Regions from separate parts of the Mus musculus genome. Here regions 1 and 3 are each reported to be linked to region 2. Evidence: microRNA targets listed by miRTarBase, many of them from high-throughput screens and not tested one by one. Region 2 holds a microRNA gene; each other region holds the end of a gene's coding sequence.
The links. Region 2 holds the annotated microRNA mmu-miR-683 (CCUGCUGUAAGCUGUGUCCUC, at 2,106-2,126, opposite strand). A microRNA usually pairs through its seed, bases 2 to 8, with sites in the 3' UTR of a target mRNA and lowers its output. Matches are read on the target gene's strand: a 7mer-m8 pairs with bases 2 to 8, a 7mer-A1 pairs with bases 2 to 7 and ends in A, and an 8mer does both.

Region 1: the mRNA of Dmbx1 is a reported target of mmu-miR-683. Seed matches in the 3' UTR shown: 7mer-A1 at 2,241-2,247.
Region 3: miRTarBase lists Cpox as a target of mmu-miR-683. Seed matches in the 3' UTR shown: 8mer at 1,611-1,618.

The regions. Positions count from the first base shown.
Region 1 is chr4:115,915,280-115,918,279 of GRCm38, forward strand. Dmbx1 (diencephalon/mesencephalon homeobox 1) reads right to left here. Exons shown (of 5, transcript NM_001025567.1): 5 at 1-3,000. The coding sequence ends at 2,672. Among named protein-coding and RNA genes, the nearest start is that of Dmbx1, 23 kb to the right of the region's middle.
Region 2 is chr13:50,598,885-50,603,270 of GRCm38, forward strand. Mir683-2 (microRNA 683-2) reads right to left here and starts at 2,196; the gene lies at 2,088-2,196.
Region 3 is chr16:58,678,328-58,681,327 of GRCm38, forward strand. Cpox (coproporphyrinogen oxidase) reads left to right here. Exons shown (of 7, transcript NM_007757.2): 7 at 343-2,064. The coding sequence ends at 430. Among named protein-coding and RNA genes, the nearest start is that of Cpox, 9.6 kb to the left of the region's middle.

The DNA.
Region 1 (3,000 bases), not on the chromosome of region 2:
ATCAACTAACAGAATAAATAAATACAATACACGGTGTTTTGTTTTTTGCCAAGGCTTTGTACAACCTCTAAGCACAAGTGGTCACAAAACAGCTGGTTTGAAAAGCAGTCTATACAGCCAGTCAGCCTCTGCATAGAAATGGGGACCCAGGCCCCTGAACCATGCTCTAGGGAAATGAGGAAGCAGGGCAAAGGAGACCTCAAACAGAGCAGAGACATACAGGACTCTTCCTAGAAGGGCTTGTAAGGGTTTAATCCTTGGGCTCTCTGCCCTAAGTGACCAGCAGGCCTGAGAGAGATTCCATCAGCAGTGTCAGGAAGGTGGGCTCACCCACAATTTCTTCAAAGAATCGTGCCCTCTAATCCTCCTAAGAAGACATGGTCATGAAGATAAAACCCACGTGTGTCTTCCCTCCCTTCTCTGGCCTTGGGGATTTGGGTCAGCACATGAGAGAACACATGACAAAGATCTAAGAGAGTTTAGAAAAGCCTGGGATAGACCAGGCTCATGTCATGACCAGATATGACCTCAGGTGGCCTTGCTCTTTAGGAGGTTGGGAAGGCTTCTGGAAATGGTAATACCCAGAAGTGTTAGATCCCAAGTCCCAGTGACAATCAGTCATTTGCACCCAGGAATAGAAAGACAGTTTCAGCCCTGCGCCTGGTTCCAGATGAGACAATACAGAAACATAATTTCTTGAAGCTGACCACAATAGGGTAACCATGGATCGATCACTGATCCCTCCCTAACCCAGAACCCCCTCATCTCCCTAAGGATTTGCTAACCTCTCATCTCCCCGTCCAAGTCTCTCCTCCTCTGATGTTCGCAGATTCTAGAACCCAGGAAGATACCCCTTCTTAAGAAACCCTCAACTGACTTTGGTGCTGCTGCGTGAAAGTGGGAATGTGAGACTGCGTCCTAGGCTCTCTGCCTCACCTCTCACGAGGCCAGTCACCTTGTGTTCCGTGGCTCACTTCTCCTGTTTCTTTCTTTCATGCTTTCCTGTCTCACTTTTTACTGGCTAAAACCTTCTCCTACCCCAGTCCAGACTGACATTACTAAGGTGAGCACTATTGGCTCTGTAGGCCAGTCGTGCCAGGCCACCACTGTGTGGGCGTGGGGTTGAGGGTTCTGTGGCGAGCCAAAGGGTTGCGGAATCATAACCACGAATCTATTCAAGTAATCTTGCCCACCCCTCACCATGGGCAGGGGAATGGAGTAGCCCCCCCCCCCAAGGCTCACACTGGAATCCAAGAAAAATAGGATCAAATCCAGATTGTCTAACCTAAAAAGGAGCCATTTACATTTACTGGGAAACAGAGGCAGTATCCACAGAGATCTTCAGGTATGCAGGACTCACTGTTCCTCAGCAAAACAACAGTAATGTTCTAACTTACAAACTGGGCTTCTCTAAGTGCTTATGCTGCAGTTATTATTATTAAACTTAATTAAAGCCTCTGCCATACAAGGTTGTGGCATAGAACACTGGGTGGTTGGAAATGGACAGAATCTTCTAAATCATCTTATCCAGACAAGACAGTCCTAGCAAGCTTGAAAGGGCGTCCACAGAGCAGGGTTGCCTAGACATAGAAGAACACACCCTGCCATGCCAGTGACTAACGAGACAGAAGCGCCTACTCCCACACCGGCCTCTGCAACAGGAAGCCAAGTCCTGAGACCGTATGTAGCCATAAGGGTTCACTCACTGAGAAGGGATTCTAGAACCCTGCAATGAGGTCTCTGTTCTACTGCGGCTGCCCCTCTGCAATCTGGGAGCGGGTACTTCCAAGCAAAGAAAGAGAAGAAAAGGTGACTGTGAGCCCCTCCTAATATCTGGAGATGCTGTGGGGTTAGAGCTACCTCCTGCCTGTTGCTCCTGGGTCTCCAAGTAGGACTTTGATGAATCTTGGGGCATGGAATGGAAGAGTTGCCTAGAGAGAGTTCAGGTTAAGGGAGGAGATAGCCAAGCGGAGCAGAAGAGAAACAGGAAGAAACAAAATGACTAAAACCAAAACAAAAAACAACAACAAAAACAAAAACAAAAAAAAAACCTACAACCCCCAAAAGAAACACTGTTTGAGAATACTGGACAATAATAAAGCCAGCACCAAAGGCCAAGGGTAGGTAGAGGGACAGGGATCAAGACAGAGGCAGTGGGGCTGCAGGGGAGGGGGGATCAGGAGAAAAAGGAGGATGAGAGAGAGAGAGAGAGAGAGAGAGAGAGAGAGAGAGAGAGAGAATCTGCTGGAGTGAATCTCAGGGGCAAGGGTAGTGGCGATGTGAGAACAGGGAAAGGGGGCCTGGGGCAGGCAGTGCCTGAAAATATAGTTTTATATATTTATATTTATATCTCACATTCCACACTTCAACTTACTAACGGGGGGGGGGGGAGCAGGAGGGAGGAGGCAATACTGAAGAGGGGGTGTAGCCAGTTGCTCCCCTCCTCCCCATTTGACCTCCATGGGGTCCAAGCAGGGCCATGCAGAGGGTGTGTGGGTTTCACTTGGGATTGGGACTTTGAATAAGGGAGACAAGGTGAAAGGACTCCAGGCCCCAGCATCCCTGGGCTCTCAAAGTTAGTTCTAGGAGAACTTGGAGAGCCTTCTGAGAATAACCATGGGACCGAGACAGGGGTACACCCAAGACCATGGTTGGGTTAGAAGCCAGACAGTCAATTGGGGAGTGTATCGAGTCCCAGGGATGCGGCGTGCTGCTTGGCCCGGAGGCGAAGGTTTTCAATGCTCGTGGTTTTACTGTTCAGGGCAGCGGAGGCAGGTGCCAGGCCTGTGGGGGGCGCCGGCAGCAATGGGGACCCCCACACACCCTGGTGGGCAGCAGCAGCTGCTGACAGGGATTGGTAATAGGACTGGCAGTGTAGGGAGCTCAATGGGGCCATGTTGACCCCTAGGTAGGGCACGGCAGCCGCCGCAGCTGCAGCCGCCGCAGGTGCGGGACCGCCCACTTCAAAAGACGAGTAGTGCATCAGGTTGTTGGTGGCCG
Region 2 (4,386 bases):
GGGTGTGGGTGTGGCAATGGAGCCTGAAGAGGATGCAGAGAATCATGATGTCAACCAGTGTTATTTGCCTATGCACCTGGAAAGTCCTCAACTTATCTGAGTGACCAGCTGCCCTAGGATTCCCCTCAACACCTCTTCTGCCACTTGAGTGGACTGTATGTCATGCATGATGCTCAAGGTGAGGGCACCCAGGTGCTCCCTGGAGAAATGATGTCACAGAAATAATCATTTCTGATAGGTTGCTTCAAACTTACCCTACTCTTTCACCAGTATACCTAAAGTTTTTTCCTGAGTTTTCTTTTAATTTTTTTTAATCCTGTTTTGCCTTACTTGCATTCTTATTGTGTCACCAGATCTAAATCGCACTGCCATCTTTGGCTAGTGTCACTCTAACTGTTGTAGCCCCTTTCTGCCCAGAAGGATGTAGTAAAATCTCAAAGAAGGAGAAGAAAAAAAGGAAAAAGGAGTATGAAGAGGAGGATAATGACAAGGAGATGAAGAACAGGAGGAGGAAGAACAAAACTACACTTGAAGGGACAAATATGTCCAGAAATCATTATCACCAGTGTCACTGCACTCACATACACACACACACACACACACACACACACACACACACACACACACACACACACCATACATTTAAAGATCCCAAGATACAATGATAGTAACCAGGAAGGAGCAATATACATTTCATTCCTGTTCTTGGATGCAACTGGAGCACCCTTCAGGCTGGCATAACTTTCTGCATGATACTTAGGTCTGGACAAAGAGTGGAGATAATTTGTATACACTATCAAAAGCAGCAGCAGCTGTCACTTTGTCCCCAGAATTTGCTGATAACTGCTTATATGCCTGGGGTCAAACATGAAGTCCAACTCTGCTTTCAATAGGTGTACCCCTTATTTTAGGAACTCAGCAAGATGCATATATAGAATTCCTTCCCAGGAAAATTGGAGACTATGGATTCTAAGGAAAGGCTCTCTAACAGACCTGGTTCTTAGCCTGGTGCTCTGAGTATGGGGACCCCAGACCATCACAGTTTCAGAGTGACTTCTGTCAGAGCAGATATTATGCCTCCAATGTGTCTTGTGTTGGAAAGAGGGAATTAGTGGGAGACCTGAGTTTTCCTGTCTTTCCCTTTAATTGAGGGGCGGGTGGCGTATAATCTCTTTGTGACTGTACAGGAACCTCAGTTAGACCAGGAGAGATGGAGCTAGAAGCAGACCTACCTGGATGTTGTATACCAGAGTATTGCAACATGTAAGAGCAGAGCCTCCTGCTGCCATGGTAAGCAGAACTCTTGTGCCCCTGGGATTGGCAGCACTATATGCTGGTTTGGAATCCACAGCCACATTAGTACACCATGAAGTCAGGAGTGAGATGAATCTCCTACAGGAGAGTTGAAATTTATGAGACCTGGGTTGAGTCCTGTTCTGGAAGTGGTTATTTTTGATAAATGTAGCAAAGTTAGGAAGACCAGGTTCTTGACCAAGACTTGACTTTGGGCTCCTGGCCAATCCAGGACAGAGAGCTGGAGTTCCCCCAGAGCTATGATAAATTTCAGATCCAAAGGACAAACTGGACTCCCCGAGGATAAGTGTGACCAGAGGCAAAGTGCTCCCTTCATGAGTACACTTCAAGTCTCTTCTTCATATTTCACTTCATGAAGACAGATGTCTACATCATTGACAATGAACTTACAGAGGCCATACCTTTGTTCATAAGAGCACAAGTGTATTTACAAAAGAGGTGGGTCAGGAAAATGTTACTAAATGTCTAGGTGTAATAATCCAGGGTGTGCTCTACTTCCTGGCTCCGGAGGAACTCTGATAAATTCGGGAAGTCCATGAAGAGGGAGGGAAGACAACATTGCCCACTGACATCTTCTCCCCATGAATGTATGCTCTTCCTGTTCTCATTGGCAGACGTTGGTCCCTCTGAGACTGGAGAGCAAACTCTCTCCTTAGGCTATCCTAGGCTCAGTTCACGGTGGAGGAGGATCCAGCAGGGACACCTGTGAAACCCAGGGCCGCACAGCTTGCACGAGGTCTCCACTGCAGCCCATGAGGGTTTGGTTTAGAGTAGGGCTCCATGCAGCCCAGGAGGACACAGCTTACAGCAGGCATCCACTGCAGTGCAGAAAAGCTTGGCTTTTAGCCTGGGTCCACTGCAGCCTCCCAGCTGGACTTCCCATGCCTGTACTCATGAAGATGAGGATCAGGCAAGTTGATGCCTCTCCTTCTCCCAGGACACTTAAGGAAACATTGGGCTTGCAGGGGAACTGAAGATGTAGCCTTGACACTACCTAGGAGCTAAGAATAATCAGCATTTGGATAAGTGCATAGCCTGCTGTAACAGCTATTTGTGCCATCACATTTCCCAGAACAGCTAAGAGCAGTGTCTAGTGGATGCTCTTCATGCATCCCCAACTAAAAAACCTCTCTGCAGGCTCCCCTCCCTGCCATGCTCCCGAGGAAAGTACCCGCCACTTGTCAATGGCTCCCTGTAGTTTGTTAGACACTAGTCAACAACCTAGTACAAGAATGCTTTTTCCCAAGTCACATGTATGATAGAATGATTCAGCCAGGCCAGCTCTCACTCCCAAACTCCCCTTTCACTATGTCTGGTCTCGCTGCATATTAGGGGAAAGGAGAGGCTAGCTTCATTCCTCCCTCCCTAGTGAAAAGAAAGATATGTAATTCTTAATTGGACCTCCAAGAAAGCTGACTCCCTAAACTGATCTCACATATCCAGGAAGTCTGATATTTGGGGACTACAGAAGAAATGCAACAGACGCTATCCCGGATATTTGGTGGTTGCTAAAAGAGACAACAGACCCAATCTGTATAGAACAGCTTATTTAGGGAAAACAGCTAACTACCCCATCCTGCCACTCCTAAACCCCTTTCCCACTTCTAGATCATTAGCGGCAAAACTGCTCTTTGCCTGCACACTAAATAATCTGGCCCTGATATGCCCTGCCCAAATGTAGCTGTGTACACTGTATTATACATCCATGCCCCATAATGTGCTATAAATCAGGCCCTGTTATACACATCACTGGGGGCAGCCAGCAGCCTAGTGGTTCAACAAACTCTGACAGACACCTCCATGTCAGAGCCACATACCCACTTTTAGATCATAGGCCTCCAAGGCACAGACCCTTCCAGTGTAATGAAACAGTACCCCTGGGAGGGCATCCTGGAAAGCCTGTTACACAGCAGCACATGTGGCATTTACTGTGGATGAACAGAAATCATAGCAAGGCCAGCTGGGCACCCCTGCAATCCACAAAGAAGCTGGCTATTGAGTACTGTTACACAGCTCTCCAGCACATAAACTTCTAGGTACCATGCTCTCTGTCCTCCCCTTTCTGCAGGCACTGCTAGAGACATAATGGGTCTTGTTAAATAGCCTCCCCCTCTTTGATGACACTCCACAGGCACTGTTATATATCAGGCCTGTGGCAACCCAACCCCCAGACTATACTCACTGTTATTTCCTGAACAACTTCAAAGAACTATGACAGGAATGTCTTGACCCACCAGCTCCTGAATAATAACATGATGACTTACGTTTATTTATTGTCCCTAAACCTTATCTTGCTACCCCACAACAACCTTGTATAACTTCATTAACCCTTTTATTCTAATTCACATTTGCCACGTGTCCCATAACCTCATACTCAGTATATCTGATTTCCTGCATGTCTGGCTGGTGAATCTCTTCCATCTCTCAGTTCTTCCCACAGTTCCTCTCTTGGAACAGAAGACCCATCTTCCATATTCTGTACAGATATAGGCCTGTGGGTCTTTCTTAAAGCTAATGAGAGATGCCTTAGAAGGTGAGGAAGGACAGAGATAACCTACCACAGTACACAAAAATGCTACCCCATTAGATACCTTGTTGGGTGTCAGATTCCATCACCACCAATACCCCTGCTAAAAAACACCCTCAGCCCAACACTCCCTCCATACTGTCCAGCATCATGAGTTCTTGGTGTAAGGTCGGGCTGCAGAAAATTCTGGAGCCATACATACACAACTAAGTACCAGGTCCCACTGACCTACCCCCTTTCTTAAACCACACATACTGTGTTTTTTGATAGTCCTTCACCATTGTCATCTAAACTACAGTGGTGTAGGTGATGCCCTCCTGTTAAAATTTATACAATTCAGGCTTTTTAGGACTACACCCCCAGGCTGACATTTCACATACAATGCTAGATATCAAAGTCTTCTAGACACACGTTCACCTCTTCTGCTTCCCTACAAAGACTACTAGGCACCATGCCCAGTTGAACATACAAGGGCCATTGCCACATACACACATCTAGGTGTCAGGCATGTAGTCTTCCTACTCCACAATACAGTTAGAAGCAGA
Region 3 (3,000 bases), not on the chromosome of region 2:
CTGAGTCTGGCCTTTCCTCACAGCCTTCTTTCTAGAAAGATACATTTGTAGTGTAAAACTTAAGCTACCTGTGTACTACCCAAGGCTCTATACTTTATGAAACCCAAGTTTGTAATGAAAGGATCTTAGTATTAACCCAGATATTCCTAAGACTTATTAAGAAATTTACTCTCTTAAGTAGCTGATTTTTTTATATATATATAGTAGAGACACAGTAGTCACAGTGGGGTGGAGGAACTATGCATTGTTTTTACTCTTAGGGTTTTATTCTCCATTAGTTATGTATGTCATTTATTGTTATTTTGTTTGCTTTTTTTTTTGTTTCGTTTTGGACATGCGTAGATGGGAGTACATGCATTCTCCCCCAGAGAATTCCAAAGAAGCTGAAATTCTGGAAGTGTTGCGCCATCCAAAGGACTGGGTGCACTGATGCATCAGACAGAGCCTTGCTCCAGGGCCTGGTGGACACAGGTGGTGTCTTCGTGCACTGTGGCCACTGTGTGGCAGGCAGTGTCTTCCGTGCCTTACTGTCCCCGCCTTCTTCACCCTGGGCACCCCGTCTGTGGCAGGCGGTTTTGATCTTTTCCAGTGCTGTGGGAGGAGGTGGCTCAGAGGTGGGTGGGGATGTCAAACTGTCAGATTCCTTGTCTGTGACATCCATTTGTACTTTTAGAATAATTTTCTGTGACCAGTCAGTTTGACATTGTGTTTCCAGGTCTTTGAGATAAGGGAATGTAAATACTATGATAGGTACCAGGAAACTCTTCATTTTATATGTTGCTTGAAGTTTTAGTTTTTGCTACAGAAGTTTATCAGGGAATACATTTTATCTTCATTAGTTCAGTCAGGATGCCCTTCTTGGGAACTTTGGAATGCAATTTGAAGCCAGTCCGTGGTGATGTTTGCCTTTAATCTCAGTATTCAGGAAGCAGAGGCTGGTGGATCTCTGTGATTTTGAGGCCAGGCTATTCTACAAAGGGAGTTCTAGTCCAGCCAGGGCTACACAGAGAAACCCTGTCTTGAAAAAGAACCAACCCCCCCCCCCAAAAAAAAAAACGAAAAAAAGAAAGAAAGGAAGAAAGAAAGAAAGCAATTTGAAGAAACATGTTTTTCTTTGTTGCTTTTGAAGTTTCTTTGACGTAATTTTCATGTATCTTTCTCTATATTCCAGAATATTATAAAAAAATACTCATTTTTTTTTTAAAGATAGCTATTTAAGAGCTCTGGAAATTTTCTTTAGTCAGTTTTTGTATTATATAATGATGACCTAGTTTACAACTGCAGATGGCATTATTATTATTTAAATAAGTGATATCTTCAGTGGTAAGGTTTTTGTGAGATCATAATTAGCTAACATTAGGATTCTATGTAATTTTGAAAGTGAAAGCTTATATCCCTGGATTCTGATACTTAAAAGTTTTATATTTTAGAGACTTAGATATGGGAGATTAGCCTAAGGACAAATGAAACACATTTTTTTTCTCTTTAATTAAAGAGAATGGAGTCTAACCTGGGCATTTTATATTTTTTATTTAAAAAATGGGCCAATAGAAATTGTGTTACTTTTTAAATTAGAGATTCTTCAACTTTTATCTTTTCTTTTAAAAGTCACAGCAGATTTCTTTTTCTTTCTTTTTTTTTAAAAATTAGGTATTTTCTTTATTTACATTTCAAATGCTTTCCCAAAAGTCCCCCATACCCCCCCCCCACTCCCCTACCCACCCACTCCCACTTCTTGGCCCTGGCGTTCCCCCGTACTGGGGCATATAAAGTTTGCAAGACCAAGGGGCCTCTCTTCCCAATGATGGCCGACTAGGTCATCTTCTGCTACATATGCAGCCGATTTCTTAATGTGTGGTTTACTTGTCTAAATAATAGTCTGACTGCGCTATGTTACTTGATTTATAATATATTGAATTTGTAAAGAACAATATTTAAATATTATCCTGGAATATGTTGGATGTATGTGATTGTGTTTGCCACTTTTAGGGTAAGAAAATCTACAGATTCTTCAACATGTCTTACATAGATTCAGCTAATAAATTTTATTATAACATAAGAAAAGTATTTGTTTCCTTTATTGTGATAACTTAGTACAAATATTTCTCGGTATAGTAGTAGTTCTTTATTACTAGATATTTTACCCAAGAGAGAGATCCATTTTTTCATTTTATTTTCTTAGCCATTTTACTAAAAATAGTTAAAATTAAAAACTCAAGTGCAGATTAGCAGGTAAATGGATAAACAGTTTGTGACTTATGCAGACATTAAAACTCAGCAACAGAAAGGAGTACTGCCTGAGAAATGCTAGTGTGCAAGGCATCAGGAAGATGTCAGAAAAGTGCCTGCTGTCCAATGTCACCTGTGAAGACTTCACCAGGGAAGCAGTCAGCGGCTGCAGGTGGGGCACTAAGGTGTTACCTGTTCTGTGGCTGAGGTGACAAAGGTGATTATACTCTGTACATTTATCAAATTCCCTTGAACTCAGCATTACAACATCAGAGAATTTTCTTATATCTGTAGGTAACCTTTCAGTAAAGAAAGACATAAGAACAGATGTTCACATACCCCTGTCTGGATACCTTTTAAAGAGCTAAAAATGTCAAGCTGAGCATATGGTTTAATGGCAGAGCCTGTCTAGCATGCATGAAGTCCTGAATTTTATTCCCAGAACTGGGGTGGTGGTGGTGGTGGTGGATCACAAAGATCCCTGGCTGATTTAATTGTATTTAAGGCTTGTAGGTGTTAGACACAGACACAGATGAAGTTTTAAAATCCTACCACCTTTGTTTGGATTCTTCAGTATCCACTCTGAACTCTGTCTGGAAGACCAGGAACAGATGTAAACCTGAAGAACATTCTTTTTTTTTTTTTTTTTTTTTCATTTGCTACACACACACACACACACAGTTGCTTCAGGCACACCAGAAGAGGGCATTGGATCCCATTACAGGTGGTTGTGAGCCACCATGTGGTTGCTGGGATTTGAACTCAGGACCT